Arabidopsis thaliana: one gene and its partners. The protein of the gene in region 1 interacts with the protein of each later gene in a pairwise test. Each region holds a gene or a part of one and is shown in the gene's direction. Other genes may lie near its edges. The genes, in order: PLC2, AT5G10290, AT2G28990 and HVA22J.

Region 1 (7,269 bases):
ATATTTTCTCTCTTTAAAAATGGAAAAAGAATGGCCTTAGAGATGATATAATCTTCCTGTGAATGGTGCGAACAGATCGAGAAACACGAACTTGTTGAAATGAGACGTGTGGCTGCTTATATCTACAAGAAAGCGGGCAGATGGAAGCAATCAATTGCATTATCAAAGAAAGACAACATGTACAAGGACTGTATGGAAACGGCTTCACAATCAGGCGAACATGAACTTGCAGAACAACTACTGGTGTATTTCATTGAACAGGTATGATGATGGTTAAACATTTACGAGATGCTAGTGCTAGCCATTCAGTTTGGTTAGTTGAAAAGAATTGGTCCAGACGTTGAACGTAGTATCCCGTGTCTTCTGCTGTTATACAGGGCAAAAAGGAATGCTTTGCTACATGTCTCTTTGTATGTTATGACTTAATCCGACCAGACGTGGCTCTAGAACTTGCCTGGATCAACAATATGATGGACTTTGCCTTCCCGTATCTCCTCCAGGTGATCTATCCTAACCCTCAAATAAACTCTTTTGATTCTCTGCTCAATGAGGTTGGAACCATTATTTGAACGCTATGATGAATTCTCTTCTTCCTGTCGTTTTTTCTTTGCAGTTTATCCGAGAGTACTCTGGCAAAGTGGATGAGCTAATAAAGGACAAGCTTGAGGCACAAAAAGAGGTGAAGGCCAAAGAGCAGGAAGAGAAGGATGTCATATCCCAACAGGTACTACTTATGACACAGCTACACTGGATATCATCCGACTCTTTATCTTGACAGATACACTTAAAGGAGTAATATGTTTTTCTTTTGTTTTTAAACAGAACATGTATGCCCAAATGTTGCCACTTGCTTTACCTGCACCACCGATGCCAGGAATGGGAGGTGGTGGTGGGTATGGTCCTCCACCACAAATGGGCGGTATGCCAGGAATGCCTCCCATGCCACCATATGGAATGCCACCGATGGGCGGCTACTAAAGCAGACCAGCTTATGCTTTAATATCCGCATTTGGAAAAGTATCAGTAGCGCATAGAGTCGGCCCAATTTGCTAGGGCGGTGTTCATCTGCTAGCTAGCTTATATGTCTGACCAGAATTTGTCTGGGAATAATGTGGATAATAACCTCCTTTCGTTGTAATATTCTGTTGGGTTTAGGTGAGTAATTTTTTTTTAACTTTTTGTCAAAAGCCATTTTTGAGTATATATACTCAACTCTCTTACTCATATGAGTTTTGTAGTTGTACTTTCCTTCAGCATTTCATTCCATTCGACTTTCGATTTATTAAACCGTTGATCAGTTTCACCTTGTTGTTATTCATATATGAAACAATTAATATCGAGAAGGACTAAATAAATCCTTCATGAGAATTTGGTTGACCTCAGAACAATCATCATCATTCATCAGCATCAGAAAGACATAGATGCAACGTGAATCTCATTTTCATGAAATAATAATGAAATCTTAGGGTAGGTTTATTTCACATGTACACATAAAAACCTAAGTACCAATAGTCATCTGAACATCATGAACTAAAAATTGCATCCCTCCGTAAACACACATTTCTGCTACATTACTAAGAAAACGTTCTGGATAGAAAGATTCAATCAACCCAACATACTTTGTTTTTATTAGTATACTTAGATGACATACAAATTCACTTGGTATTTCTAATATCAAAAGTTCAACCTTCACCAGGATAAAACTCATCCAGCGCAGACACTAACTATAGATAATCAATTAAACCAAAATGATAAGCAGATTGAAGAACTTTAAGGAGAATCAGTAACTCATAAGGATCATTCCATGTAATAAACATAATTCTAATAGAAAACATAGATTCGATTTGGTCCAACAAAACATTCAAATTGAAAATTGCAAAACCAACAAAACTCACATAAGAGTTGGTTCTAAAAAGAAGAAAGACAAAACAAACTCCCGAATCTACTTAGATCGCTGTCTCATCTTTCGTCTCTTCCTCTTCAATCTCCTCATACGCTTCTTCTTCCACTGCAACACACAAACACACAAACCATAAAGATCCTACACACTACTTCAATTTCTCATCACTAAAAAATCCATTAAACAATCAAAACCCATTACTAACCTTGGCTCTCATGCTGATTTCGCAGAAGCTGTCTCCTTCGTTCCTCTGATTATTTGTTTAGCTTTACAGGATGAGGAGCGGCGGAGATGAATAGAAAGATTTTGTAGCTTACGCTCTTATTCCTCCTTTAAACAACAACAAAACCCTAGTAACTAACTTAATGGGCTTTATTATTTCAAAAGCCCAATAAAACCCAAATGGATAAGAATTTGCCAGAGGGGATATTCGCACAGAGAGAGAAAGAAGATCTTTTTCCGACAAGGTTCAAGATCGATTAAACATTACATGGAGGAGATTCACTAGAAAGAAAGGAAAAAAATCTCTTTGTCTTTGCAGATGCGACACGCAAAACGACGATTCTGATCTCGCTTGTCTGATTTCAAAAACAATGAGAAGATAGTTCTGATTATATAACACACAAACCCTACTTCATTCCTTCATCATCGTCTCCAATCATTACCCAAAGATCCGTCTTTTTCTTTACTTCATGTCGAAGCAAACGTACAAAGTGTGTTTCTGCTTTCGCCGGAGGTTTCGTTACACTGCATCGGAGGCACCGCGTGAGATCAAGACCATTTTCGAAAAGTACTCAGAGAATGGAGTTATGACCGTTGATCATCTCCACAGGTTTCTGATCGATGTTCAGAAACAAGATAAAGCCACCAGAGAAGATGCACAGTCAATTATCAATTCTGCATCTTCTCTTCTTCATCGTAATGGTCTCCATCTTGATGCTTTCTTCAAGTACCTCTTTGGTGATAATAACCCTCCTCTTGCTCTCCATAAGGTAATTTTCGTGTTATTTCGATTTTATGAGTTCAGAATCTGAAGTAAACTATGATTGATTGATATAAGAAACTCAGATTTTGGATTGGGATTTTTCGTTTTCCTTGTTTGGTAATTGAGGAAATGGTGTGAGGAAGTGAGATTTTTGGAATAATTTGTTTGAATGTTTCACTGAGTCTAATCAAGAGTTCGAACTTCGAAGCTGCTGTTTGGTAGAAAGTCGTAGGAGCTATGTACTTTTTAGGTGTTGTGGAATAAGTCTGATTCAAGAATTTGAAGCAATAGAATTGTTTTTCTTTTTATGTCTCAAAAAAAAAAAAAAAGTTGAGAAAGTAACATATCTAGGAATGTGACATTTACTCTATTAGGAACTCTGACACAAAAATCCATGATACAAGTAATTAATATTTTTACAATTCCGGCTATACATGTAATTGTGACTCAATTGTGCTAGCTTTTATTTTCAGATTGATTATAGACTTATCTCTAATGAATTTGTGGTGTTTCAGGTGCATCATGACATGGATGCTCCTATATCGCATTATTTCATATTCACTGGTCATAATTCTTATCTGACTGGTAATCAGCTGAGCAGTGACTGTAGTGAGGTACCTATTATTGATGCGTTGAAGAAAGGTGTTAGAGTCATTGAATTGGATATATGGCCCAATTCCAACAAAGACGATATTGATGTTCTTCACGGAATGTATAATTTTGCTTCAAATTTATTTCGAAAAACAAGTCAAGGTTAGGTGCTTGGCGTTTAACTTGTTTACTGAACCATTCTTAAACAGGACTCTCACTACACCTGTGGGGTTGATCAAATGTCTCAAAGCTATCAGAGCACATGCCTTTGATGTATCTGACTATCCTGTTGTTGTAACTCTTGAAGATCATCTTACTCCAGATCTTCAGTCTAAAGTTGCTGAGGTAGCTTTTTATTTTGCATTTCTTTCTTTGCTGCTTTAATAGATGAGTACATTGGTTTTGAGATGTGTTTTCTTGTTGTATGATAGATGGTTACTGAGATATTTGGGGAAATTCTGTTTACTCCTCCTGTGGGAGAATCTTTGAAGGAGTTCCCATCGCCAAACTCTTTAAAAAGACGTATTATCATCTCAACCAAACCCCCAAAAGAGTACAAGGAAGGAAAAGATGTGGAAGTGGTGCAGAAAGGTAAAGACTTGGGGGATGAAGAAGTTTGGGGAAGAGAAGTTCCGAGCTTTATTCAGAGGAACAAAAGTGAAGCTAAGGTGTGTACGAAGACAAATCATTTTCATTCTGTTCTGTTGCTGTTCATGGACAAACATGTTAGTTTTCTTTCTTGTTGCAGGATGACTTAGATGGAAATGATGATGATGACGATGATGATGATGAAGACAAGTCTAAGATTAATGCACCACCCCAGTATAAACATTTGATTGCAATCCATGCTGGGAAACCAAAAGGCGGAATTACTGAGTGTTTAAAGGTAGATCCTGACAAGGTTAGACGCCTTAGCTTAAGCGAAGAACAACTTGAAAAGGCAGCAGAAAAATATGCGAAGCAGATTGTGAGGTATAGTCATATTATGTTTTTATGTTTCTAAGTAATAGTTGCAGTTTGTCAACTCAATATGAATCCTGTTAATCATGGTGTGGCGCAGGTTTACTCAGCACAATTTGCTGAGGATATACCCAAAAGGAACTAGAGTCACATCATCAAATTACAACCCGTTGGTTGGCTGGAGCCACGGTGCTCAAATGGTGGCTTTCAATATGCAGGTATCTCCTTCTGCTATATTACCAACTTCTTTCTACGTAGTAGTAAAACTTCTAGTTATTTTGGAGGAGCTATGTTCCATCATTTTACAGGACATCAACCTTATTCCTCAGCTGATTTGATTGTGATCTTTTTCCATGTACAGGGGTATGGAAGATCATTGTGGCTAATGCAGGGAATGTTTAGAGCCAATGGCGGATGTGGCTACATCAAGAAACCTGACCTTCTGCTGAAAAGTGGTTCGGATAGTGACATATTTGACCCAAAAGCTACTCTACCTGTGAAAACAACACTTAGGGTGAGATATCTGATTCTCTGGTTGGTCTTTCTTTTACCAATTCAAATCCGATCAAACTCAGTGAACTTATTCTTTCCCTTAGGTAACTGTATACATGGGAGAAGGCTGGTACTTTGATTTCCGCCACACACACTTTGACCAATATTCACCGCCTGACTTCTATACAAGGGTCAATTTTTGATTCCCTGCCTTAAACCTCACACAAATGTTTTGAGATAGAACTGTTTCTTGTCTCTTATGCTTGCAATATAACAATTTGAGCTTTTGATGCATATTCAGGTTGGGATAGCTGGAGTTCCAGGGGATACAGTAATGAAGAAGACGAAAACACTGGAGGATAATTGGATACCAGCTTGGGATGAGGTGTTTGAGTTCCCATTAACCGTTCCAGAGCTGGCCCTGCTACGATTAGAAGTGCATGAGTATGACATGTCAGAGAAAGATGATTTTGGAGGACAGACATGCTTACCGGTTTGGGAGCTAAGCGAAGGAATAAGAGCATTTCCTTTACATAGCCGGAAAGGAGAGAAGTACAAATCCGTTAAGCTTCTCGTGAAGGTGGAGTTTGTGTGAGACATGATTAAGAAAGATACAGCATTTAAACTTGTCTGGTAGGTTTGAGTGCCACAGAGTTTGTGAATTTGGAGGATTTGTATGTGTGAGAGAGAATGTATGCTTGATTTGTTGTTTGTAATATTATGTACATAAAAGACGAAAGTGAGAGAGAGAGAGACGGTCTTGTATCGTGTGTTGTTGTATTATTATGTAGTAGTCTCGTGTAACACTTGAATCGTATGATGATTTGTGGTTTTTGTGTAACAAGTGTGTTTTAAAACTTGTTTGATTCCATTCCACCAAGAAGGCTTCAAAGAATTTTCTTATGTATCACATAAAACTGATCGAATTTCCATAAACATAACCAATCACACCCCATAAAACAAAATTGGCCAAAAAGAAAAGAGAAAGGATATTTTAGTAAATGAAAGAGAGAGGTGGTGGTGGAGGTGGAGGAAGCGCGCTCTATCTCAAAAACGTTGGGGTCTGCTTGGTCCTCAACAATTGAAAACCGTACAAATTCAATTTCTTCACATAAAGCTCTCTCTTCCTTCTCCATTCTTCCACCCTTTTTTTTCTTCTCTCCGCACAAATCCCCAAATGTCCGATAGGTATCGTAATCCCCCAACTTCTCGATTCATCAAACTCTTCAATTTTGTGTCTCTTTGATTGGTGATAAAGATTGATTCTTTCGTTTCTGGGGACGATGATTCATTTGATTTCTTTTTTGTAGGATACTGTGCAAGTTCTTTGTCCATGGCTCGTGCTTGAAAGGCGAAAATTGCGAATTTTCCCATGACTCTAAGGATCCGCCCAATAATGTAATCTAATCTCTTCTCAAGTTTCCTTCTTTTGATTCATCAGTCCCAAATATTTGACTCTTGGTTGTATAAATTAGGTTTGCACATTCTATCAGAAACGAATATGTTTGTACGGAAGTAGATGTAGATACGATCATGTCAGAGCTGCTTCCAATCTTCCTCTTAGCTCAGATTCTGAGTCTTTAGATCGCTCTATATCCACCACCCCCTCTAGGCATTTGCAACAACAAGGCGATAATAATGACGGTGACAAATCCTCTAACGTTTACTGTATCCACCCTAGAGAGTACCCGATCTGCTCTTTTGCTGCAGCTGGTGATTGCCCTCGAGGTAACCAGTGTCCACATATGCATGGTGACCTCTGCAATACTTGTGGCAAGAAGTGTTTGCATCCTTTTAGACCCGAGGAACGAGAAGAGCATACGAAAGAATGTGAGAAGAAGCAGAAGCACATTGAGGCTTTGAAACAAAGTCAAGATATTGAGTGTAGTGTGTGTTTGGATCGTATCTTGTCAAAGGCTACTCCAGGGGAAAGGAAGTTTGGGCTGTTGACTGAGTGTGATCATCCGTTTTGTATACAATGTATTCGTAATTGGCGTAGCAGTGCTCCTGTTTCGGGAATGGATGTCAACAGTACGTTGAGAGCTTGTCCTATATGTCGCAAACTCTCTTATTTTGTTGTCCCTAGTGTGGTCTGGTACTCTTCTCCTGAGGAGAAGAAGGAAATTATCGACATATACAAGGCTAAACTCAGGTATAGTTACTAACTGCAATAAAAACTTGATTTTGAGCTGGCTTCAAATTTGATTTTGCTTAGTAGATACAATTTGTGTTCCATTCCAATCTTGCAGATCAATCGACTGTAAGCACTTCAACTTTGGAAATGGAAACTGCCCATTTGGAGCAAGTTGTTTCTATAAGGTATGTATTTTCCTCTATTCTT
Region 2 (7,379 bases), on another chromosome or scaffold:
AAGATTATTACATATAATCGGTGGCAATAGCAGAGAGAGAGTCAAAGAGTTTTTGGGGTTTGGAGAGCATCACCATGTGATCTCCGCCATCGATCTCGTAGACTTTCGAGACGTTGAAATTATCAATCATCCAACGAATGAAATCGCAGGGGATGGCTTTGTCTTCACTACTCATTACGTAAACTCGTTGCACCGAACCATATCCTTCCTCGCTAAACTTTTCTTTCTTTGATAGATCCTCTGTGAAAAATGACCCTTGCCTATGCAACATTTTTGCCAGCTCGTAATCCTTCACAGTGTAACCATCATGTAACCACACACCAAAACTAATTAATAATCATCTCATACGATGATTCATATTCGAAAACTTTAGCACATAGTTTGAATATAGATTTTGTTGTTTTGGCGTAACAAATTTTAGAGATTTGTGGGAACAATACCTCTATGGGACAATTTTGGTAAAGACGTGCCTTCATGAATTTTGGTCCCATCTTCAATAAACTCATCGTCCCATTTCTTGTTTCATGAGATGAAAACTCACAATCTCCCAAACCTCCAGGCATCTCCATATACTTTATTATTATCATCAACCAAACCAAGAATTATTTTCATGGTATTAAGATAAGTTGGTCAAATTATAAAAAACTACTAGTATCAAAATTATTTTTGTTATTTTATTGTTAACCTTGTCCAGAACGTGAGAAGGCACGTGGGTTGTGTCGGGCAAGAAGGCGTTGAGGAACACAAGAACCTTAATCTTCGCCGGAAATATGTCGGCGGCGAGAGCGATGTTGATGCCTCCGAAGCTGAATCCAACCAGAATTACCTCTTCGTTCTCTGGAAGAGATTTGAGGGTTTCGATCAACGGTTTGGAGTATTCGTCGACGGTTTCAACGGCCTGGATTGGTCGTGGGTCGATCCCGGAGGCGGCGAGTTCGACAGCAGTAACGCGGTGGCCGGCTGATTCAAGGAGGGGCTTGAGCTTGTACCAGATCCAGGCTCCATGATAAGCGTTGTGAACTAACACGAAGTGATGTTTCCTCTCCATATGTCTCCGTAGACGTTTTCTTTTTGGTTAAGGTTCTTTGCTTGTTTGAGAATAGCGTGATAAAGTTGGGATATGAGTATGACGTTATTATTATATAGTGATAGTGGGATAAGGTTCATATACGTTACGCTGTTAATAACTTCTTATGTTATGACACATGTTCAGATTTACTAGTCTCCTCGGTCGGCTGTTGTATACTTTTGTATACTTGTATTTAGATATATTTTAAATAAATAAAGCAGAATTCTGTAATCACACTTAGCTAAATTACATTAATTTTTTTGGACATTTAAAAAAATATATGAGTACATCACAGTTTCAATCTAATAACGGACCAACACATGTAAGATTTTGACATCCGCGATTAGATGGACGTAAAAAAGGCTTAATTAACGGAACTAATTGAACACGATAAACACGTGCCTGTTAAGTGTTAACCGACCTAATCTTCATATTGATCTGAGAATCTTCACAGCTTCCCTTCCTTCTTTGAGTCTAGCCGGCCCATGGGCCGTGAAACACTGTGACTGTGACTCTCTTTTATTGACTCATTTTAACCTTTTCCTTTTGCCTTTTGGTACCAATTTTTAACTTTTCCTTTGTACAGGGAGATTCGCTTCCTTTTTTTAGGCTGGCCATTTCGTCTTAGTGAGTGGTGTATAGTTGGCCATTTCAGTCAGCTGTATTATAGCCTCATTGTCAATGATGTCGAAAATCATTCCTCAATTTACACAATGGTTGTCAGGTAAAAAACAACGAGAGTTGATAAGTAGATTTAGGAGGGAAAAAAGAAAAAGACAATTTAGTTAGTCTTCTTTTACATCCACGTAATTAAATAGCACATCGTTCCAAACATCATTATCAAAGTTCATTAGTTATTTAGGGAAATTACAAGTTGCACGGAGAAAAAGCAGTTCGTGGACCAACATTGGACTTTTCTTTCAGACAAAGGCCATTAGCGAGCGAGAGTGATAATTGCGAAATTGCCAAAAAACGCAAAGTCTACCACTAGACAAGAAAATCGAAGCTTTTCACTTTCTCTTTTTTCTGTTTTGTTGTCTTTGGTTCTACTCTCCGCACTGAATCTTTCGATCAGCGATAATTGTTTCCTTCTTTTGGGATTTTCTCCTTGGGTACGAGGTTCTTTCCTTCTTTTATTTGCTCTGTTTTTGAGATTTGGAATTGTTATCAAGTCTGACAAAATTGGTCACTAATCTTTCTGGGAAATTGAGCATGTTCGTGTTCTTGCATCCGTTTGACTCTTTTTCTATGCAAAGTCTCAACCTTTCAATAGTGGAATTTATTCTTATCCCTAATTTCTCTTTACCAGACCTATTTTTAGCTAAGTTTGGTTGAATTTAGAAAGTCTTTGATTCATAGTTGAAGAGATTCTCTCCATTAATCTTTCTCTGTAATGTGTCAGATCCACTAAAAGTAAGTAAGAAAAAGATTTTGTTGTAATGTTATTAAATGTGTCTTTGTAGATGGAACCAGCTCAATTAATGAGATGAGATGAGAATGTTCAGCTTGCAGAAGATGGCTATGGCTTTTACTCTCTTGTTTTTTGCCTGTTTATGCTCATTTGTGTCTCCAGATGCTCAAGGTGATGCCTTTTCTTACTTTTCAACTGCTATTTTGTTGCTCTCATTTCTTGTTTCGTTTCTGGTAATTTCTGAGCTTGTTCAGGTTGAAGATTTAACTCTATGATTCTTTGCTTTTCCATTTTCAGGGGATGCACTGTTTGCGTTGAGGATCTCCTTACGTGCATTACCGAATCAGCTAAGTGACTGGAATCAGAACCAAGTTAATCCTTGCACTTGGTCCCAAGTTATTTGTGATGACAAAAACTTTGTCACTTCTCTGTAAGTTTAATGACAACTCTGAATTAGTCAATGTTGTTTCCATGTGAGAAGATTTATATTCATGTCATTTGTGATTGCAGTACATTGTCAGATATGAACTTCTCGGGAACCTTGTCTTCAAGAGTAGGAATCCTAGAAAATCTCAAGACTCTGTAAGTGCTTTAGATTGAGTCTCTCTTTTTGTCTGAAATCCTAGAACATAGATATTAGGTTGTGAGCATTTCGCTACCTTCTTTTTATATATAGTACTTTAAAGGGAAATGGAATTACGGGTGAAATACCAGAAGACTTTGGAAATCTGACTAGCTTGACTAGTTTGGATTTGGAGGACAATCAGCTAACTGGTCGTATACCATCCACTATCGGTAATCTCAAGAAACTTCAGTTCTTGTAAGTAGTTCCGCCTCACAATGCTGTTAAATCTTGCACATGTTTTAAAACATTTTTAAGACGTAGAAAAGGATTACTCATGTCTTTATTCACTTGTGTGTTGGCTAAACAGGACCTTGAGTAGGAACAAACTTAATGGGACTATTCCGGAGTCACTCACTGGTCTTCCAAACCTGTTAAACCTGTGAGTTACTGTTCTTTGTGTTTATGCTTACCATCTTTCTGGAAGCATCCTTGTCTTAATTCCATTGTTTGAAACTATGTTTACAGGCTGCTTGATTCCAATAGTCTCAGTGGTCAGATTCCTCAAAGTCTGTTTGAGATCCCAAAATATAAGTATGTTTGACTACTTCAAGTTTAATCTAGCATGCTCATTTCTTTAGCAGTAATTTGATCTGTTTCTAATCGACTATAGTTTCACGTCAAACAACTTGAATTGTGGCGGTCGTCAACCTCACCCTTGTGTATCCGCGGTTGCCCATTCAGGTAAACTACTTCACTTTGCGATTGCTCTGACCGCATTTTCTTTATTTTCAACCATTTCAAAAGTATGAAAGACTGAAAACATCTAATCTGCGGTGATAGGTGATTCAAGCAAGCCTAAAACTGGCATTATTGCTGGAGTTGTTGCTGGAGTTACAGTTGTTCTCTTTGGAATCTTGTTGTTTCTGTTCTGCAAGGATAGGCATAAAGGATATAGACGTGATGTGTTTGTGGATGTTGCAGGTCTGTAATATACCCTACAGGGAAACCTTTCTTTCGTATTTCGTATTTCGGTATGTTATGATGTATTGATATGCAGATTTGTGGAACTTTACTATTTTTCAGGTGAAGTGGACAGGAGAATTGCATTTGGACAGTTGAAAAGGTTTGCATGGAGAGAGCTCCAGTTAGCGACAGATAACTTCAGCGAAAAGAATGTACTTGGTCAAGGAGGCTTTGGGAAAGTTTACAAAGGAGTGCTTCCGGATAACACCAAAGTTGCTGTGAAGAGATTGACGGATTTCGAAAGTCCTGGTGGAGATGCTGCTTTCCAAAGGGAAGTAGAGATGATAAGTGTAGCTGTTCATAGGAATCTACTCCGTCTTATCGGGTTCTGCACCACACAAACAGAACGCCTTTTGGTTTATCCCTTCATGCAGAATCTAAGTCTTGCACATCGTCTGAGAGAGATCAAAGCAGGCGACCCGGTTCTAGATTGGGAGACGAGGAAACGGATTGCCTTAGGAGCAGCGCGTGGTTTTGAGTATCTTCATGAACATTGCAATCCGAAGATCATACATCGTGATGTGAAAGCAGCTAATGTGTTACTAGATGAAGATTTTGAAGCAGTGGTTGGTGATTTTGGTTTAGCCAAGCTAGTAGATGTTAGAAGGACTAATGTGACTACTCAAGTTCGAGGAACAATGGGTCACATTGCACCAGAATATTTATCAACAGGGAAATCATCAGAGAGAACCGATGTTTTCGGGTATGGAATTATGCTTCTTGAGCTTGTTACAGGACAACGCGCAATAGACTTTTCACGTTTGGAGGAAGAAGATGATGTCTTGTTACTTGACCACGTATGTATAATCAAATAATCCTACCTCGAAGTAGCTTCTCTCAAGCTTTATTGACCGTAATCTTTTGGATCTTTTTTTTGTTTTGGACAGGTGAAGAAACTGGAAAGAGAGAAGAGATTAGGAGCAATCGTAGATAAGAATTTGGATGGAGAGTATATAAAAGAAGAAGTAGAGATGATGATACAAGTGGCTTTGCTTTGTACACAAGGTTCACCAGAAGACCGACCAGTGATGTCTGAAGTTGTGAGGATGTTAGAAGGAGAAGGGCTTGCGGAGAGATGGGAAGAGTGGCAAAACGTGGAAGTCACGAGACGTCATGAGTTTGAACGGTTGCAGAGGAGATTTGATTGGGGTGAAGATTCTATGCATAACCAAGATGCCATTGAATTATCTGGTGGAAGATGACCAAAAACATCAAACCTTGAGTTTACTGTAAAGTTGCCAACTTCACTTTTTTGTTTTGTTCTTCGGTGAAGAAGTAAAATCAGTTGTATAAATCTTGTTTTTGTTTCATGATGTATCTTTTGACTTTAATAAATTCTGTGAATGAAAAGAACTATGATGTTTTGTTGACTTTTTTCGTTGACCGCAAGAAACCTTTTTGTCGTCTTATACTGTCAGGCCTATTACAAAGTTGTCGTTTATATGGGCCTAATATGGGCTTTTAAATACATGTTTTCTGTCCCAAGTTGTCCTAGTTTTGCCAACTCAATTTATGATTTTTTTTTTTAATTATATCACAAAATAAAGATTTCTGTATTCTCTGACATGAAAATTAATATTTATTATTGAAAAATCGTTGTTTTCATATTTGAATAGAAAACAAGAAGAACAAAAAATTAACATATTTTTAATCATCTCTAAATTGTGTTAGATACAATAGCAATGTATTTTAAAGATTTTTATGTTCATGATCGAAAATATCCAAAAATATTTAAGATTGAAGAATGGATAATAATATACATTATCCATTGACAAAAAAAATCTATACATCATTATCATTTGGATACGGATGAAGTAAATTCCCTAATTGCACAAGATCTTTACAAGCCTCGATTATGTGTCAATTCAACATTATAACAAAATTAATAATAATAAAATAGATTCAATGAGTGATTTTTCTATAAAACCTAATGAGAGATCACTTTATCTGACATCACATACTTAAAGGGCCTTGTCTTTTAATTATTATTAAATCTCTACTTGGCCTTTTTATATTATCGTTAGCCAGCCGATCACATGCTTCTTCACTTCTTCCATTATTTGATCGATCTTCTTGGCAATCAAATCAACATTTAGACTTAACCAATGATATAATGAAACAACTCAACATTCAAGCTCTAATATGTGTTGTTTTAGAGCAAAATACGTGGTCTTTCATATGTTAACATATTTAAACTCTAGTCTCTAGCTTTAATTTGTTTGATTTTCTGCTTAAAGATACACAAACTGCTCTTTGATTTTTTTTGTGTGTTTTCATTCACATAATAACAGTTTGTCTATTATTTGTTATGACATCTATATTCATACATGATCCGAATGTTATCACTTATCACCATGGAAGGAAGTGTAAAACAAAAGATTCAAATAATCAGCAAAAACCCTAATTATTAAATACCATACAACTACAACTACAACTACAAATGATATCCATTTCACAAAAATCTTATATATATATAAACTCTGTGCACAGAGACATATGCTAAAGAACATTGACAACAACATATGCATATGAGTATGAAATCTCTGTACTGTACATTCTACAACATGAGTTACAAATATATGATGTCTCTACAGTATTTATATATATATAGATAGGCAAATAAAAATCTCCAACAAGCACAATTCCAAGAGTAAATTTGATTTGAGTTCCTCCAAAGTACATACCTGAAAGTAAAGACAAAAGAAGGCTAAGGAATGTCGGAAAATATAGAATCATCCAATAGATGATCAGGCCATGCAGCTGAAGCTGAAGCTCCTGATTCTTGACCGCTTGAAGATGTGATATTGCTATTGACATCTTCAATACCGTATTGGTTAAAAATCAGATCATCATTCACATGAGCAGGAGTTGTGCTGGATGGATCCGAGAGCCAGATTGGAGACACGGGTAGGTTTTCTCTTTGAGTGGAGAATTTGAAGTGATTGTCATCAAGATTCTGGGGGAAAACAGATGATGGTTCCATGTTGGAATTTAGGGTTTTCAGGGAAGGTAAGCTGTGGAAGTCCTGAAGATAAGAGCCGAGGAAACCGAGGTCGAGATTGTTGCTGGTGGTATTATTACTGGTCTCTTTGAAAGAGGCAATAGAGTTAAGGAGACTGAGAGTGTCAAAGTCATTAGGGTTAACATTGTTACTCATGGAAGACGGTTGAAGAAGGTATTGGAACAATTGGAGTTTGGCCATCTCGGTTTGGAGTTTGAGTATAGTGTGTTCTTGATCAATAGGAAACTGTTGTTGCAGATCAACAAAGCCTCTCAGGTTAGAAGACAAAGACATGAGCTGAGATAAGCCG
Region 3 (8,634 bases), on another chromosome or scaffold:
ACCTATATAACGCTGAGGTGGAAACATAAAGAGGAGCTGAACTCGCCCAATGACTCTCTACAACAGGTAGAAACTGGGGTAGCTTTGTCAACACATTAACAAATTTAAACGGTTTCCTGCCTCCAGTTGCCGCAGCTTCCAACATTAATCTGCCCTGAGAATGATCAGAACAACCACCGGTTTCGAAAACGTTGTATGAATGTGGATAAGCAGAACACTAGGAATCGTTGACCAAGCATCTATCAAGTTTTTTGCAGACCAAACCCTCTTCTCTTTTGTTACACCATGTGAAACGTGAGTCATGATATCCAAGGTCAGAAAAAGAGCAATATCTTACAATCTCCTGAAAATCTCTCATCCCTGGAGGAGTGTAGGGAGAGTTATCATAGTTTGAATGCTCTCCACCTTCAAGAATTTCATTGAAATCACCACAGAGAATCCATGGTTTGTTACGAATCAACGGCGAGTCGTGATGAGAGCGAATATCTTCCCACAAAATACGTCTCTCCTCCACAAAATTTGAAGCATAAATAAAAGAACAAAAGAATTCTTCTTCTTTACCTTCCAACAGAATCGAACATGTTATCATTTGACTACTCTTAAATACCGGAGTTAGTCGAGCATTGTCCCTCCAAACAACCCAAATGCGGCCTAACCGATGTGATTCATAATTAGTTATAGACGACCAACCACTAAAAATAGACGAAAGTAGTTCAGCTGATCTGCCCTCCTTGACTCTCGTCTCCAGAAGACAACCAAATTGCATAGAACTGTGATTCACCCAACTTTTGATAATGGAATGTTTAGAAGATTTATTTAGACCACGGACATTCCAAAAGAAACCCGACATAAAAATTATTTCTTTTTATGAGCCCTATGACCTGAAACACTAGGGTTACCCTTCGTGTTTTGATTCGCAGAGCTTTTGACCACCTTATGCTGAGACTTTGAGATTCGTGGGATGTACGGACGAGTCCCTTGAACACCAACTGAATCTGAATTATCATTTAATTGTTGGGAGAGAACAACAATTTCTCCTTCCTCATGACCGTTTGTGTCAGCCGTGTCCTCCTCCACTGCTAGGACATCAAAACGAGAAGGAGACGCATGATTAACTACTTCTTGAGGTTGAGGACTCCTCTGCCTGCCTACCTTAGCAGGCGATACCGTGTGCCAGGGACCTTCGTCCTTCAAATTTTCCTCGTTTTCCTCTGCAACTTCCTTTCCCTTATTCTGTAAAACAGTCGGATTCTTCATTGGAACTTTCTGAGTGTGAGAATCACCGTTTAGCGTTTTTGTCAAAGTAGCCGAAGGAGATTTCGATAGTATTTCGAGAGGTTTTTCTTTCATGAGAGGAGGCTCTGTTTTATCCTCTGTTTCTATCTCCGTTGGTGTGGATAGCTGATTGGGTGATGGACGCGTTAGACAAACCTCTTGTATATGTCCCCACTTAGAGCATGAAGAGCATCTCGGCGGCAACCAAGGATACTTATATTCGACCATTGCATCAACGCCAGTTTCAGATTTAAAGCGGAATTGTTTTGGCATTTCCTGTGTTAAATCTGCTTCTACAAATACCTTAGCTTCCTCAAAACTGTTGCACAGAACTGTGTCAGGGTGAAGCTTTTTTGGTTCCCCAATAGGACTTGCAAGAAAACTCAGACCCTTCCAAGTAAACATTGAGCGTGGAACATTTTTAATGGTGATCCACATTGGCATTGTTTTAATTTCTGGCTGAGCATCCTCAGCAACCGGGGACCATTTAGAAACGATCATAGGCATGTCAGCTATGTTCCACATTCCTCTGCGAAGAACCCTAGCTCGGACTGAACTCTCTCTGATTCGGAATTTGATTGTTTTAGTGTCTACCACATATGCGTCAATCTTTACCGTCTTGTCTCCAAGTGGCCAGATCTTGTTCACAATAACGTGAACTTTTGCAATATGCGGAGATATTTGTGGAAACCGCCCTATGAGCAAATCATCCCACAATGGTGTTGAATCTTCAAAGATTTCATTTGGGACTTGGACAATCGAATCACCGTTGACCATTGTTACGTTGAATTCATGCTTCGAAAGGGTTGGTCTATTCTGAACAATTGATGAGTATGATGGTTTGGTCGTTTCTGGGGAAGCTTCTGAACTTTTCGATGTGCTCTCCACCACCATCGCCGTCGACATGATGGGGGAAGACGGCGGAAAAGCCGCCAGATCTGCCAGATTGGGACACACGGTAGTGAAACCCTAAATCGCCTTCAAAATCGCCCTGCCACGTCAGCCCTAATTTTTTACCTTTGATTGATTGGTCTATGATTAGTTTGCCGCTGAAAAAATCAACAAAATATAATGTGTCAGTGAATAACATGATTTTTCTTTTTAATCAAAAAACATGATCTTTGTATACTAATTCTGAAACTTAATTATATATATTCGATCCAATCTAGTAAACTAGTTTATAGGACGGGATCCAAACGAAATACTTATCCACGAAAGAAACCTTTATATATCTTTGTGCTCGAAAGTTTTCTCATTCGTTATTTTGGTGGCTGACTACTAAATGAAGATATACCAAATGATTTTTCTTCACTCAAGCAATTTAAGCACATAGACAAAGTAAGATCATCTGGCGATAAACCATACATTCGTGGAGGAAATATTCCTACACATGACGAGTCTCCTGAACATATACAACTATTCAACACCAGATTGATTATTTCCACGATCATTATTTAATTTTCTACCCGGAGTTGACTTTTGTATATTTCATTCCAACTTATACATGAGGTATCTCTCAGTTCCATATCTTTTGCAGTTTTCCCTAAGCAAGTCTTTGTTTTTTCTTGAGTACTAGAGAAACCGGATAGTGATCGAGAGAGAACATGAAGATTCACCTTTTGTTGGCCATGATTGGAACCTTTGTCGTTATAATTGGAGCCCAGGATCAAGAAGGTAATGATATATACCATCTCTTTCTTGTTTATAAATCAATCCTTTGACTTGTGATATGTTATATAAGAATGTATCAATATCACTTTTCCCATTTATTGCTTTTATATTTGAACAGGTTTCATCAGTTTAGATTGTGGATTACCTAGTGACGAATCTCCTTACGATGATTCGTTTAACGGATTAACATTCACATCGGATTCCACTTTCATCCAAACAGGAAAAATTGATAGTGTCGATAAAGATCTTAACATAAACTTATCAAAACAATATTTGACTCTTAGATACTTCCCAGAAGGAAAACGTAATTGTTATAGTCTTGATGTCAAGCGTGGCACAACTTATCTCATCGTGGTTAGCTTTGTATATGGAAATTATGATGGTCTTAACCGTGATCCAAACTTCGATATCCATCTTGGTCCCAATAAGTGGAAAAGAATAGATTTGGATGGAGAGAAAGAAGGTACAAGAGAAGAGATCATACACAAAGCCAGGTCAAACTCTTTGGATATTTGTCTTGTTAAGACAGGAGAAACTTTGCCAATAATTTCAGCCATAGAAATACGGCCACTAAGGAATAATACGTATGTTACACAATCTGGTTCGCTGATGATGTCTTTCCGGGTTTATCTTAGCAATTCAGATGCATCTATAAGGTAAGTCAATCTATTTGAAGCATTCAATGTGACGTTTTTCTTTTGAATAAAATTTAACATTATTCTTTTAAAAAATGTGAGGTTTTTCTCTCTTTTTTTTTCTGGAGAAGATATGAATGAGGGGATATGTTGACTTTACTTGTGTTAAAAACATCATTGTTGAATGATGTGTTCAAAATTTTAAGACTCCAACGTAACTACATTATGCCAAAACTATATGGCAAGTCATTGTAACAATTGAACAAAGAACTAAGAACAACGAACTAGAAATAAAAGATACTAATATGAGCTAAGAAAACAAATTTTTTTTTTCTTTTTTTTGTTCACAATTAAAACTAAATTAATTAATTGAAAGAAAATAAGCAAGAACCAAACAACCAAATCAAACATACAAAAGACTAACATTATTGTAAATCAAACTAAACAAGCAACGATAAATGAAATTGAATGATTGAATTCATTATTAAAAAAACGAGCCAAGGTGATTGACTCGGATAGTTGCCAACTAACTTAGTTTTTGGTATCTTAGTTTCATAGACTAGTATTTGGCTAATACAATTTACTTATTAATTTATGTGGCTAATAAAATTTATTGTAGGTATGCTGATGACGTCCATGATCGTATTTGGTCTCCATTCAACGGATCTTCACATACACATATAACAACTGATCTCAATATAAACAACTCAAATGCATATGAGATTCCAAAAAATATACTCCAAACTGCTGCCATACCAAGAAACGCCAGTGCGCCGCTGATTATTACGTGGGATCCACTACCCATTAATGCGGAGGTATACTTGTACATGCACTTTGCGGAGATTCAAACCCTTGAAGCCAACGAGACGAGGCAGTTTGACGTTATCTTGAGAGGAAACTTTAATCATTCAGGATTTAGTCCAACCAAGTTAAAGGTATTTACATTATACACAGAAGAACCAATGAAATGTGGTTCAGAAGGTTGTTATTTACAGCTAGTAAAAACACCGAACTCAACTCTGCCACCTCTGATCAACGCTATTGAGGCATACAGTGTTATCGAGTTCTCACAATTGGAAACAAGTCTTAGTGATGGTACGTACCTCTCAGCTTTCAATATTACAGGAATGTAACTTATATTATAAAGTATAAGCTATGATATTGATTCTTACATTATATTATAAAGTATGATATTGATTGTTACGTTCTCTTAATAATTGTGTCAGTGGACGCTATCAAGAACATCAAAAATACTTATAAGCTGAATAAAATCACTTGGCAAGGAGATCCATGTCTCCCTCAAGATTTGTCGTGGGAAAGTATTAGATGCACCTACGTAGATGGCTCCACTTCACCAACAATCATTTCCTTGTAATGTCATTCACAAACTTACTCTTTAATTTAAAATTTAAATATCTAAATATTTTGTATGTGTTTTTGTATTATTAGAGATTTGTCGAAAAGTGGATTAAATGGGAGTATACCCCAAATTTTACAAAATTTCACGCAATTACAAGAACTGTAAGTATCTCTACTGTTGATCACCTGAACCAATAATGATTTATTTGGACAGAATATGTAAGACAATTTCTTTTGTTTGTGCATATAACCACAGGGACTTATCAAATAATAGCTTGACTGGACCGGTGCCTATCTTCCTTGCCAACATGAAAACGTTATCTTTAATGTAAGCTATCTAAAAAGCATAAATGAACATTTTGACCTGCGTATGTATGTATATATAATGGTTATCTTTGTCTCAACAGAAACTTAAGTGGGAACAATCTCAGTGGTTCAGTTCCTCAAGCTCTTCTTGACAAAGAAAAAGAAGGACTTGTGTTAAAGTAAGATTTCCTTTTCCATAGAGGGAATGCATTTACTAATCATATAGTAACAAAGTAGAGGAACTTCATTTTTGGAGACTATTTAACTGCTAGATCTTTCTTAATTAAGAGAGTTCATGTCGATTAAATTATCGCAAAATATGGTACCTGACAGTTCGATTATTGCCTTTCCTATGCAAGCTATTTACAATTTCAAAATATGTCATATTCATTGTAGACTTGAAGGAAATCCAGATTTGTGCAAATCCAGTTTTTGCAATACCGAAAAGAAAAATAAATTCTTGCTCCCGGTTATTGCATCAGCTGCCTCTTTGGTTATTGTAGTTGTGGTTGTGGCTCTTTTTTTTGTCTTCCGAAAGAAGAAGGCCAGCCCTTCAAGTAAGTTATGAGCCATTAATAATTTGTTTACCTGCTATAAAGCAATGCATATAGTTAGCATATAACCAAATATACTATCATATGTAGATCTACATGCTCCACCAAGTATGCCTGTATCGAATCCCGGGCACAATAGTCAATCAGAATCATCATTCACATCGAAAAAAATTAGGTTTACTTACTCTGAGGTTCAAGAAATGACAAATAACTTCGATAAAGCTCTCGGTGAAGGAGGATTTGGAGTCGTGTATCATGGTTTTGTTAATGTTATTGAACAAGTAGCAGTTAAATTGCTATCACAATCATCTTCTCAAGGCTATAAGCATTTCAAGGCAGAGGTACCCTTTTTCTAGTAATTCTCAATAGATATCCAATTGATTTGTATATCTCTAAGAGTGTTGGATGATGGATGATTGGTTAGGTGGAACTCCTTATGAGAGTTCACCATATAAATTTGGTGAGTCTTGTTGGGTATTGTGATGAAGGAGAACACTTGGCTCTTATTTATGAATACATGCCAAATGGAGACTTAAAGCAACATTTGTCAGGTAATATCACATATATAATTGTTTTCTTAATAAAACCTAACCATGATATAATTTTTTTTTCTGAATAATTAAAGATCATAACTAAATTGATATGAAGTGTGTTTAATTGATACAGGAAAGCATGGCGGATTCGTCCTGAGCTGGGAAAGTAGACTAAAAATAGTTTTGGATGCAGCACTAGGTATTCATTAAACTTTAAGACAAATGTTTAGTTAATAATTACAGCTTTTATGGGTATTAGTATGGCCTCGACCGGATCAGAAAGGAACCATATGATGATATCGAAATTAATCTCCATTTTCCAATAAACGATGGTATTAAATTTAATATGTAGGATTGGAGTATTTACATACTGGATGTGTACCACCAATGGTTCACAGAGATATCAAAACTACGAATATACTTCTAGATCAACATCTCCAAGCTAAATTAGCTGATTTTGGGCTTTCAAGATCTTTTCCCATCGGAAATGAGAAAAATGTGTCAACTGTTGTTGCTGGTACTCCTGGATATCTTGATCCTGAGTGAGTATAACTTCATATGTTAGTTCCAAAATCACCATTCCTTTTTTTTACTTTACAATCACAACAATTTCTTGTTTTGCAGGTATTATCAAACAAATTGGTTGACAGAAAAGAGTGATATATACAGTTTCGGAATTGTACTGTTAGAGATAATTTCAAACCGTCCTATAATCCAGCAATCCCGTGAAAAGCCTCACATAGTGGAATGGGTCAGTTTTATGATAACAAAAGGAGATCTTAGAAGTATTATGGATCCAAACCTCCACCAAGATTATGATATTGGTTCTGTCTGGAAGGCCATTGAATTAGCAATGTCATGTGTGAGTCTTTCTTCTGCAAGACGACCAAACATGTCTCGAGTTGTGAATGAATTAAAAGAATGTCTTATATCCGAAACCTCTAGGATAGGTGAGGGACGAGACATGGAATCAAAAGGTTCAATGGAATTCAGCAGAGACATTTATAATGAGGTAATACCTCAAGCTCGCTAGCTCGTCAAAATTTATTCTTGCTGGTTTTTCTTCTCATGAATATTCAAATTTGTGTGTTTCAAGAGTGTCTTTCGCCAATAATAACTAAGGCTTTCACTAATAACATGTAATACTGATGTTGAATTGTCGTAGTGTGATATATATTTTGTGAAATACATATGGTGAAATTTATTGAAATTATTTCATGAATTTGTAACCCACAACTAATTCTCGTCTTTGTTTCTATCTCAAGAAATGCATTAGGTTGTTCCCACTTTCGGTATTTTGAAAACCAAAGGAAGAGTTGAATATACCAAAACTTATGTATTTCCTTCAAAACTTAAGAGCTGTTTATATTTCCTTCAAAAGAAGATAAATAAAGAAGATATAAATGGTCTAATAAACCAAAAGTTGGTCAAAATTTAGTCTAAATATAAAACATGAACGTAATAGAACTTGTTTACAAGCGTATATCTCGTTGATCCTGAGTTTAATAAGATGTATAATAGTAAATGTTACGAAGAACTCCAATAATGAAATATCACAAGACAGATTTATCTTGTGGAGAGGGTTCATCATGTAAATGTTTTTTTTTTTTTCACCATGTAAAGTTGGTAATTCTTGTTGTATATTGTTTTAACGAAGACACACTTCGACCTAGTCTAGTACACAACCAGTGGAGATTTAAAACAACATCTATCATTCAAATTGGACAAAGAAATAACCGAATCCAAGGAACCTTGCATTGGATTTAGGATTTATGACAAAAATTCTTCGCAAAATGTTTCCACGCCAACCTCTCTATAAATAAAGGGCCACAAGAACATGCATGAGTGAGAAAAATACATTTTCGAGGCGGGAAAGATAGACTAAATTTTAATTTTAATTGTAATTCATAGCTTGAAATTTTAAAATTATACAGCTACTTGGCTCCTTTATCAAACAACGTGCAAAAGTATAGTGATTTTAAGACCACGATTTTTTGTGCCACTAGAGACGTGCTTGCATCTTTAGAAATGGACATTTTAATTTTATGGGAGAACTTTCCACAACCCTAACTGTTGAATATATGTTCTAAATGCTAATTTTATCCAAGTTTGCCTCTTTTATTTATTTTTGTATCCTTTTAAACTCTTTTTATTCGTTCATATATGTTTCCTTTCCGGCTGCTACATTTCAAGAGGTCGAGCAGACCATAACTCTATCATTTATCTTAGTTAATTCATATACATAGGAACCTTGGTAGCTTCATCTTTCAAAATGGAGGGTCATCGAGGATTATTGTTGGC
Region 4 (6,087 bases), on another chromosome or scaffold:
AATAAATAAAAAGATTTCACGTGGACTTGTTTCCGGAACCTTCACGTCATCATCCTAATGAGAGTCACGAGTGTCACAAGATCTTTAAAACTTCTATTCTTATCGATTTTGGCCGAATATTACTACAAAAATCAACATTGAAACAAGTAGCAACCATATTATAATTATTCTACCATTGTCGTTACACTTGGTTAAAAGACAAAGAAGAAAATCCCAAAGCTAAGATAAGAAGTTAAAAAGCACAAACCCAATAATATATTGACACGTCAGTAGTAGTAAAATGGATAGTTAACGTGTCAATACATTATTGGTGACGTGGCATAATTCGTAGTTAAAAAAGGTTACTTCGAGCGGTGGTAGTGGTTACGGTGTGACGCACGTGAGCCATGACGGTGGACGAGTGGAGACTCTTGGACGTCTCCACGGCGTTTGGCAGCGGAGAAAACTCCGTCCCAGATTTCGGAGAAAGCGCGGATGATGATGCCGTGGTGGTATGGCTCGTTAAGGGAGAGGAAGCAGTGGAGAAGCTCTCTGAGATCGTTTTTGGAGTAAATCTCGTTCTCGAGAATCATCTGAAGCATGGACTGTCGGAAATCTAGGTAAGGATCGTCTGAGTCTTTCTCGACGGCGACAGCGGCGGCGGAGGGTGTTGCCGAGGAGGAAGAGGTGTCAGAGAACCAGTGGGAGGTGGAGGGAACGGCGGAGGAAGAGGAGGCCGTGGTGGGGGTGGAGGAGTGGCAGTGGCCGTAATTAGAGGAGTAGAGGCGGGGCTTTTTGGGGGAAGGGTTGAAAAAAGAAGACAAGCTTGGGAACTTACAGTTGCCACAGCCGATGTCTACGACAGAGACTGCCTTAAGGACCATCTTCTTCTTCTTGCTTTTGCCTGTCGTCATTGCTTTGCTCTTTCTTTGTCTCTCTGTCTCTTACTCCAAGATGAAATAGATTTTAGAGAGAGAGTGTGTGAGGGAGAGTGAGTCTACTTGGATTGGTATTAAAGGGTGCATGTGGTGACTGAGGTGGATTAATGAGAAGTAAACTCTTAGCAACAATATTTAATTTGATGTTCAATGACAGTTTATAATTTCTTTTAAATTTTTGTGAGCTTTTAAAAATATGTTAGTAAATGTCTACATTCATGAGCATTAATGTGACATATACTTACTCCACTGATCTATGAAAATTATGAGATGTGAATATAGGATTATTATTTAAGTTGACTATAATGAACTATAATGGTATTTCATATATAATTAAGCCTTCCCATTACGATTTAGGTTCTAGTTGGACGATCTATATTTTTCTTTTTGTCAAATCTAACCTTTTTTTTCTTCAAAAAGTCAGATGATCTTTAGTATGTCATTTGCATTCAATAGTTATACTATACGGTCGTTAATTCATTTCATACACAATTATTTTAAACTACGTTTTAAATTTTAATTCGAATATATTATTTTTTTAGGATTTACACATGGTGTTAACAAATATTACAAGAGAAGTTGTAGAAGTACTCAATAAGAGTTTGTTTTACATGGATTTGTGTTGGGCCTTCATGAGCTTTGTACAGCGCCTTTACAACACTCAAATAAATTGTCACTCAAGGGATATAAACCCAAAGGCCGTAGCTCCTCCAACACAAATCCAGACCACTCTTTGTTTCCAGTATTACTATTATTCCTCTAAGTACATTAGAAAGGTGTATAAACTTTGTTTTACAACATATAATAGAAAAATAAACATTACTGTTAAACAATACAAAACTTTACAGAAAACGTACAGTATGTTTAATTATTGATAGATTAATATTTAGAGGCCGATGAAAGGTGGAAGTTTTTTTATGGGAACCTGGTAGACATAGAATGTTGTAATAATATTGTCCATCAATCTGATTTTCGATTTGAGATTACCTAGTGTAAAATATAAGTAACATAAGTAACAACTCACTTATGATCACTGCACTATTAAGTACTTCTTCCTCAATTCCTTATTACTCCAAATTCTACAAAAAAAAGTTTGTTGCAAAAAGATACAAATTTTAATTTTTCTATACAAATTTTAAGTGTGGAAATTGTTAATCACAAAAAATAATACATTTAGGATCAATTTTTTTCATGTGTGAAAAACTTAGAATTTGGATTAATAAGGAACGGAATTATTTTGAGTTTATGTTTGTTTGGAAAAAAAAAAGACTAGGTTTGCTTCAAATTATCCATTGAATAAAGGATGTTTAGATGAGATTTTAATGGATTTCAAAAGATATTCTAGTAGTTTATAGAATTTCGTATTTAGTATTTTTTTTGAAGGACAGCAGAAGAATATATATTTATTAGTGTAAAATCAGTCAAACTTAATTAATTTGATTCTTCAAGGACTTTTTTTGTAAATTCATATGAAGCGTCGAACAATGTTAAATAACGAGGATAATGAGACAACGGTCAAACGGTCAAACGGTAAACCCGTTCCTCTTACCCCCAAATTCAAGTAGCTTTTGTGGCAAGAAACCGTTTACTTTTTGTAATTTTTTTGTTTGTTTATTGACGTTTATATATTTCTAAAAAAACTAAACCCTGATGTATTCCAATTTTAGAACTTACGCGTCTTCATAATCTTCCTCTTTTTTTCTTTGTCTTTGATATTCAAAGTTTTTGTTTATTTTTTCTTTGCTTAACCCGGAGAGACACCCTCTCCATAAATTTAGGTTTGTTTATAACAACTTATACATATTTTTTTCTCTTCTAATAATAAAACTCTGTAACCATTAAACATGGTTTTGATCTCATTTGCAGTTTTGATCCCTCTGGGTTCCTTGAAGAAAAAAACACCAATTCCATTCATATTCTTCTTCATACGTTCAATAATTCTTACGAGGACGAGATCTTCCTAACGTCTTTGATCTTCTTCATTAGGTTCATTTGCATTTGTTAAACGCTTAAAAATGGATCTATTCGTCTGATATATATATGATTGTTGAATCGGTTTTGTTATGATTGTAACAGGAGATAAGTCTAAACTGGTCGAAGATGTTGGGAGATTTCATCATCAGACTCCTTGTGTATGTCCTAACCATATCTCTTTTTTTCTTTTGATTAATTAATCATGTATATTGATGTATATATATAATTGAAATGGTGAGAATGGCAGATTGATATTAGGGTACACATACCCAGCATTCGAATGCTTTAAAACGGTGGAGAAGAACAAAGTTGATATCGAGGAACTCAGATTTTGGTGCCAATACTGGTATTGAATTATTTATATATGATCCCCTTTTTTCTATCCTCGATACTTTTAAACATTCATATATAATGTGTAGTGTATGTAGTAGATTTGTAGTGATAGGCAAATCGATTTTAGTTCGATCATAGTGATATACTTTTCTCTGTTATGGGTTTTTGTTTGATTTTAAAAGAGAAAAAAAATCAAAATTCCGTTAAGTTGATGTCTTCTGCTAGAAAAACCATTTATGAATACACCTCATCTTTTGTACAAGTCTTTGGTTTCGAACGTTGATTATATACCTAGTCTGGGGATTACTGGGACAATTGTATTAGGTTTATTTTAAAGATATCTCAATATATGTGATGCACGTAATTCTAATATGATAGTTTATTGTCAATATGTACTCGAAAATATTAATTTGTTAAACATTTGTATTTGAATAATTAGGATACTTTTGGCGCTAATTTCATCATTCGAGAGGGTTGGCGATTTTTTTATCTCATGGTAAGTAAGTTTTATTATTAGTTAATTCATGCCTTAATCCATCTCTGTCTTAAAAAATATTAACAATCATCAAATAATTAATTGATATATGCAATTATTATTTGCAGGTTACCGTTATACGGAGAGATGAAAGTAGTCTTCTTCGTATATCTCTGGTACCCTAAAACAAAGGTAATATAATTTTTCCTTTTAAAAAGTGATTAGTTGGATCATAATTAATTAGTGGTTTATGGTGATGTACAAATAATAATAACGAAATAAATAATGAATGAAGGGAACGAGACATGTGTATGAAACATTGTTGAAGCCATACATGGCTCAACACGAGACAGAGATTGACAGAAAGATCATGGAGTTGCGAGCTCGAGCTTGGGACTTTTTCATCTTTTACTTCAACAACTTCGCCCAGGTCCTTTTTTAAATTATCTTTCTATTACTTATATATACAAATTGTTCTTTTTAAAGGTTTGACTAAATTATTATAAGATTAACAACATACATATAATGTTGATGCACAGGCCGGTCAATCCACCTTGATCCAGGGTTTTCAGTACGTACTCGCCCAATCGGTCCGGTTCTCTGCCGCTGCAGCTAACCAACCGGTACTTTTCTATCGCTTTTGATTTTCGTTTTATGTACTAATGCAAACACAATCTTGTGTTTATTACCTCCCTTTTGCACTTTTGAATTTTTGTGTTTGTGCTAAAGCCAACGGAGAGGAACGTGAACATGAACGCGCAGTCACCGGTGGAGATGGACAATGATCCTCCATCACCGCGCGCTCCAAGACCGCTGAACAAATCACTATCTGCGTTGCGATCGCTAGAGAAGCAAACAAGCAGAGGGAGGAAGTGGCCGCCACCAACACCACCACCAACACCAGGCCGAGACTCCGCCGGAACATTTAACGGTGATGATGGAGTCAACATTCCTGATACAATTCCGGGATCACCCCTCACTGATGCTCGAGCTAAGCTGCGACGTTCTAACTCCAGAACTCAGCCAGCGGCATAGTAACGCAAACGTACATATACGTGACTCGACAAAGAAACCCTTTTCGTTTGTTTAAAGATATATAGGGAAAGAAAAGTGAATGAAAGTTTTGAATTGAAACAAAACAGATTTTTTTTTTTTTTTCATGTTTTCTGTAAATTGAAGCAGTAAGTATTAATACAGCGAGAATATTTGTGTTTGTTTTCGTTTAAACTTCCCGCTTTAATCCGGATATTGATTTGAGTTTGGATTTCTTCATATAGCTGATTATAAAGATGCATTTGAGTGGTCAAAAATATTATAATCAAATAGTGTACCAATGCAGCCGATGAAGTACATTCTCTGTTAAACTTACATTAGTTTCTCGGTGCTCCTCTACAACATCACTCTAGGCGATAAATGAATCATAATCTAATGGTACATTGTATGGAACGCACCTGCCATTGGTTCATACACGTTCTGTAGTTGCTCCCTCCTTGTATATGATTTTAGGGAGTGTTGTGAGGTAACACATTTGGGATCAGAAGTTGAGAAGTGTGCTTGGTATTCGATCATCTCGGGGTTGAGTCAACAGCTGTTGGTGCTATTTCGCCCATTCCTGGTGGTGGAGTACTCACGTCGGCTATTCCATAATCCCAATCGATACCAGCTTTTGCTAGAGTTAAGGATTGCGTATTTATATCTTATGCAGATAGATATAGTTAACTATAAGAGAGAAACAAATTGCATATATGCAAAGGATACAGTCAGTTTTCCAAATATCCGTCATGCTAATCTCAGCATTTGAGAGAAGCCAGTAGTCCGACTCATCATTCTGCAAAATACAAGACCAATATCAAACAACAATTATGAGGGTAGATTTTGAGTCAGGTTAATTAGTTTCTCTGCACAACTTCCTATTTCTATGTTCATTATAAAAATAAGCAGGAAGATGGCTTACTTCAACATCAGAGGGAGTAATCTTAAGCATTCCTCCTACTTGCTCTTGCAAATAATTAAGATCAGAGGTATCGCCGGGTTGAGGATGAGGATGATCATGAGACACAATAGCAGTTTCTGGGTTGTCAACAGTTAAGGCTTCGATGTCATGGTGTCCTGTAGATCCTGAGCTAGAAGCAATAGGCAAGCATGCTGGTGGTGCTGCACCACTCCCATTTGTGTCTTCGAATTTCCCTTCAAATTCGCTGAACATGAAGACAAAGTAAAAGCATGTAAACGGGACAATGAATGTTCCAAATCATAGAAATCTTTGTTTTGATACGTTCAATTATATGTATACCATCATCAGTAGAGTATATGAAGTCACGGAAAATGCCAATAACAATGTTTCTATTATTTGAAGCCAACGCATAAATACCTGACGAGGTATACGTC

Evidence for each region.
Region 2: the proteins of PLC2 (region 1) and AT5G10290 interact in a protein complementation assay, tested with the Arabidopsis thaliana proteins (one large-scale study listed by BioGRID).
Region 3: the proteins of PLC2 (region 1) and AT2G28990 interact in a protein complementation assay, tested with the Arabidopsis thaliana proteins (one large-scale study listed by BioGRID).
Region 4: the proteins of PLC2 (region 1) and HVA22J interact in a protein complementation assay, tested with the Arabidopsis thaliana proteins (one large-scale study listed by BioGRID).

Annotation. Positions count from the first base shown.
Region 1 is NC_003074.8:2,580,880-2,588,148, reverse strand, and holds PLC2 (phospholipase C 2), read left to right. Parts: upstream 1-2,250; 5' UTR 2,251-2,592; coding exon 2,593-2,892; intron 2,893-3,400; coding exon 3,401-3,597; intron 3,598-3,685; coding exon 3,686-3,821; intron 3,822-3,907; coding exon 3,908-4,144; intron 4,145-4,224; coding exon 4,225-4,448; intron 4,449-4,536; coding exon 4,537-4,654; intron 4,655-4,797; coding exon 4,798-4,950; intron 4,951-5,032; coding exon 5,033-5,119; intron 5,120-5,229; coding exon 5,230-5,523; 3' UTR 5,524-5,787; downstream 5,788-7,269. Other genes in the region: AT3G08530 (Clathrin, heavy chain), read left to right, coding at 76-261, 378-500, 614-724, 823-978; AT3G08520 (Ribosomal protein L41 family), read right to left, coding at 1,943-2,008, 2,106-2,117; AT3G08505 (zinc finger (CCCH-type/C3HC4-type RING finger) family protein), read left to right, coding at 6,106-6,116, 6,239-6,326, 6,404-7,080, 7,178-7,247. UniProt on the Arabidopsis thaliana protein: The production of the second messenger molecules diacylglycerol (DAG) and inositol 1,4,5-trisphosphate (IP3) is mediated by activated phosphatidylinositol-specific phospholipase C enzymes.
Region 2 is NC_003076.8:3,233,353-3,240,731, reverse strand, and holds AT5G10290 (leucine-rich repeat transmembrane protein kinase family protein), read left to right. Parts: upstream 1-1,923; 5' UTR 1,924-2,181; intron 2,182-2,333; exon of another isoform or gene 2,334-2,532; 5' UTR 2,533-2,560; coding exon 2,561-2,651; intron 2,652-2,777; coding exon 2,778-2,910; intron 2,911-2,990; coding exon 2,991-3,062; intron 3,063-3,156; coding exon 3,157-3,300; intron 3,301-3,412; coding exon 3,413-3,484; intron 3,485-3,570; coding exon 3,571-3,636; intron 3,637-3,715; coding exon 3,716-3,786; intron 3,787-3,885; coding exon 3,886-4,026; intron 4,027-4,128; coding exon 4,129-4,865; intron 4,866-4,955; coding exon 4,956-5,270; 3' UTR 5,271-5,474; downstream 5,475-7,379. Other genes in the region: MES5 (methyl esterase 5), read right to left, coding at 8-289, 441-572, 686-1,048; MYB92 (myb domain protein 92), read right to left, coding at 6,776-7,379.
Region 3 is NC_003071.7:12,452,176-12,460,809, forward strand, and holds AT2G28990 (Leucine-rich repeat protein kinase family protein), read left to right. Parts: upstream 1-2,461; 5' UTR 2,462-2,879; coding exon 2,880-2,949; intron 2,950-3,064; coding exon 3,065-3,602; intron 3,603-4,200; coding exon 4,201-4,676; intron 4,677-4,807; coding exon 4,808-4,952; intron 4,953-5,030; coding exon 5,031-5,102; intron 5,103-5,196; coding exon 5,197-5,268; intron 5,269-5,347; coding exon 5,348-5,425; intron 5,426-5,642; coding exon 5,643-5,803; intron 5,804-5,890; coding exon 5,891-6,141; intron 6,142-6,224; coding exon 6,225-6,351; intron 6,352-6,466; coding exon 6,467-6,532; intron 6,533-6,685; coding exon 6,686-6,875; intron 6,876-6,957; coding exon 6,958-7,366; 3' UTR 7,367-7,530; downstream 7,531-8,634. Other genes in the region: AT2G29000 (Leucine-rich repeat protein kinase family protein), read left to right, coding at 8,606-8,634.
Region 4 is NC_003071.7:15,122,071-15,128,157, reverse strand, and holds HVA22J (HVA22-like protein J), read left to right. Parts: upstream 1-2,569; 5' UTR 2,570-2,695; intron 2,696-2,783; 5' UTR 2,784-2,903; intron 2,904-2,993; 5' UTR 2,994-3,017; coding exon 3,018-3,049; intron 3,050-3,138; coding exon 3,139-3,237; intron 3,238-3,663; coding exon 3,664-3,720; intron 3,721-3,827; coding exon 3,828-3,891; intron 3,892-3,994; coding exon 3,995-4,129; intron 4,130-4,238; coding exon 4,239-4,322; intron 4,323-4,428; coding exon 4,429-4,734; 3' UTR 4,735-5,038; downstream 5,039-6,087. Other genes in the region: AT2G36030 (uncharacterized protein), read left to right, coding at 387-599; AT2G36026 (Ovate family protein), read right to left, coding at 342-893; E2F3 (E2F transcription factor 3), read right to left, coding at 5,265-5,362, 5,458-5,527, 5,654-5,897, 6,071-6,087.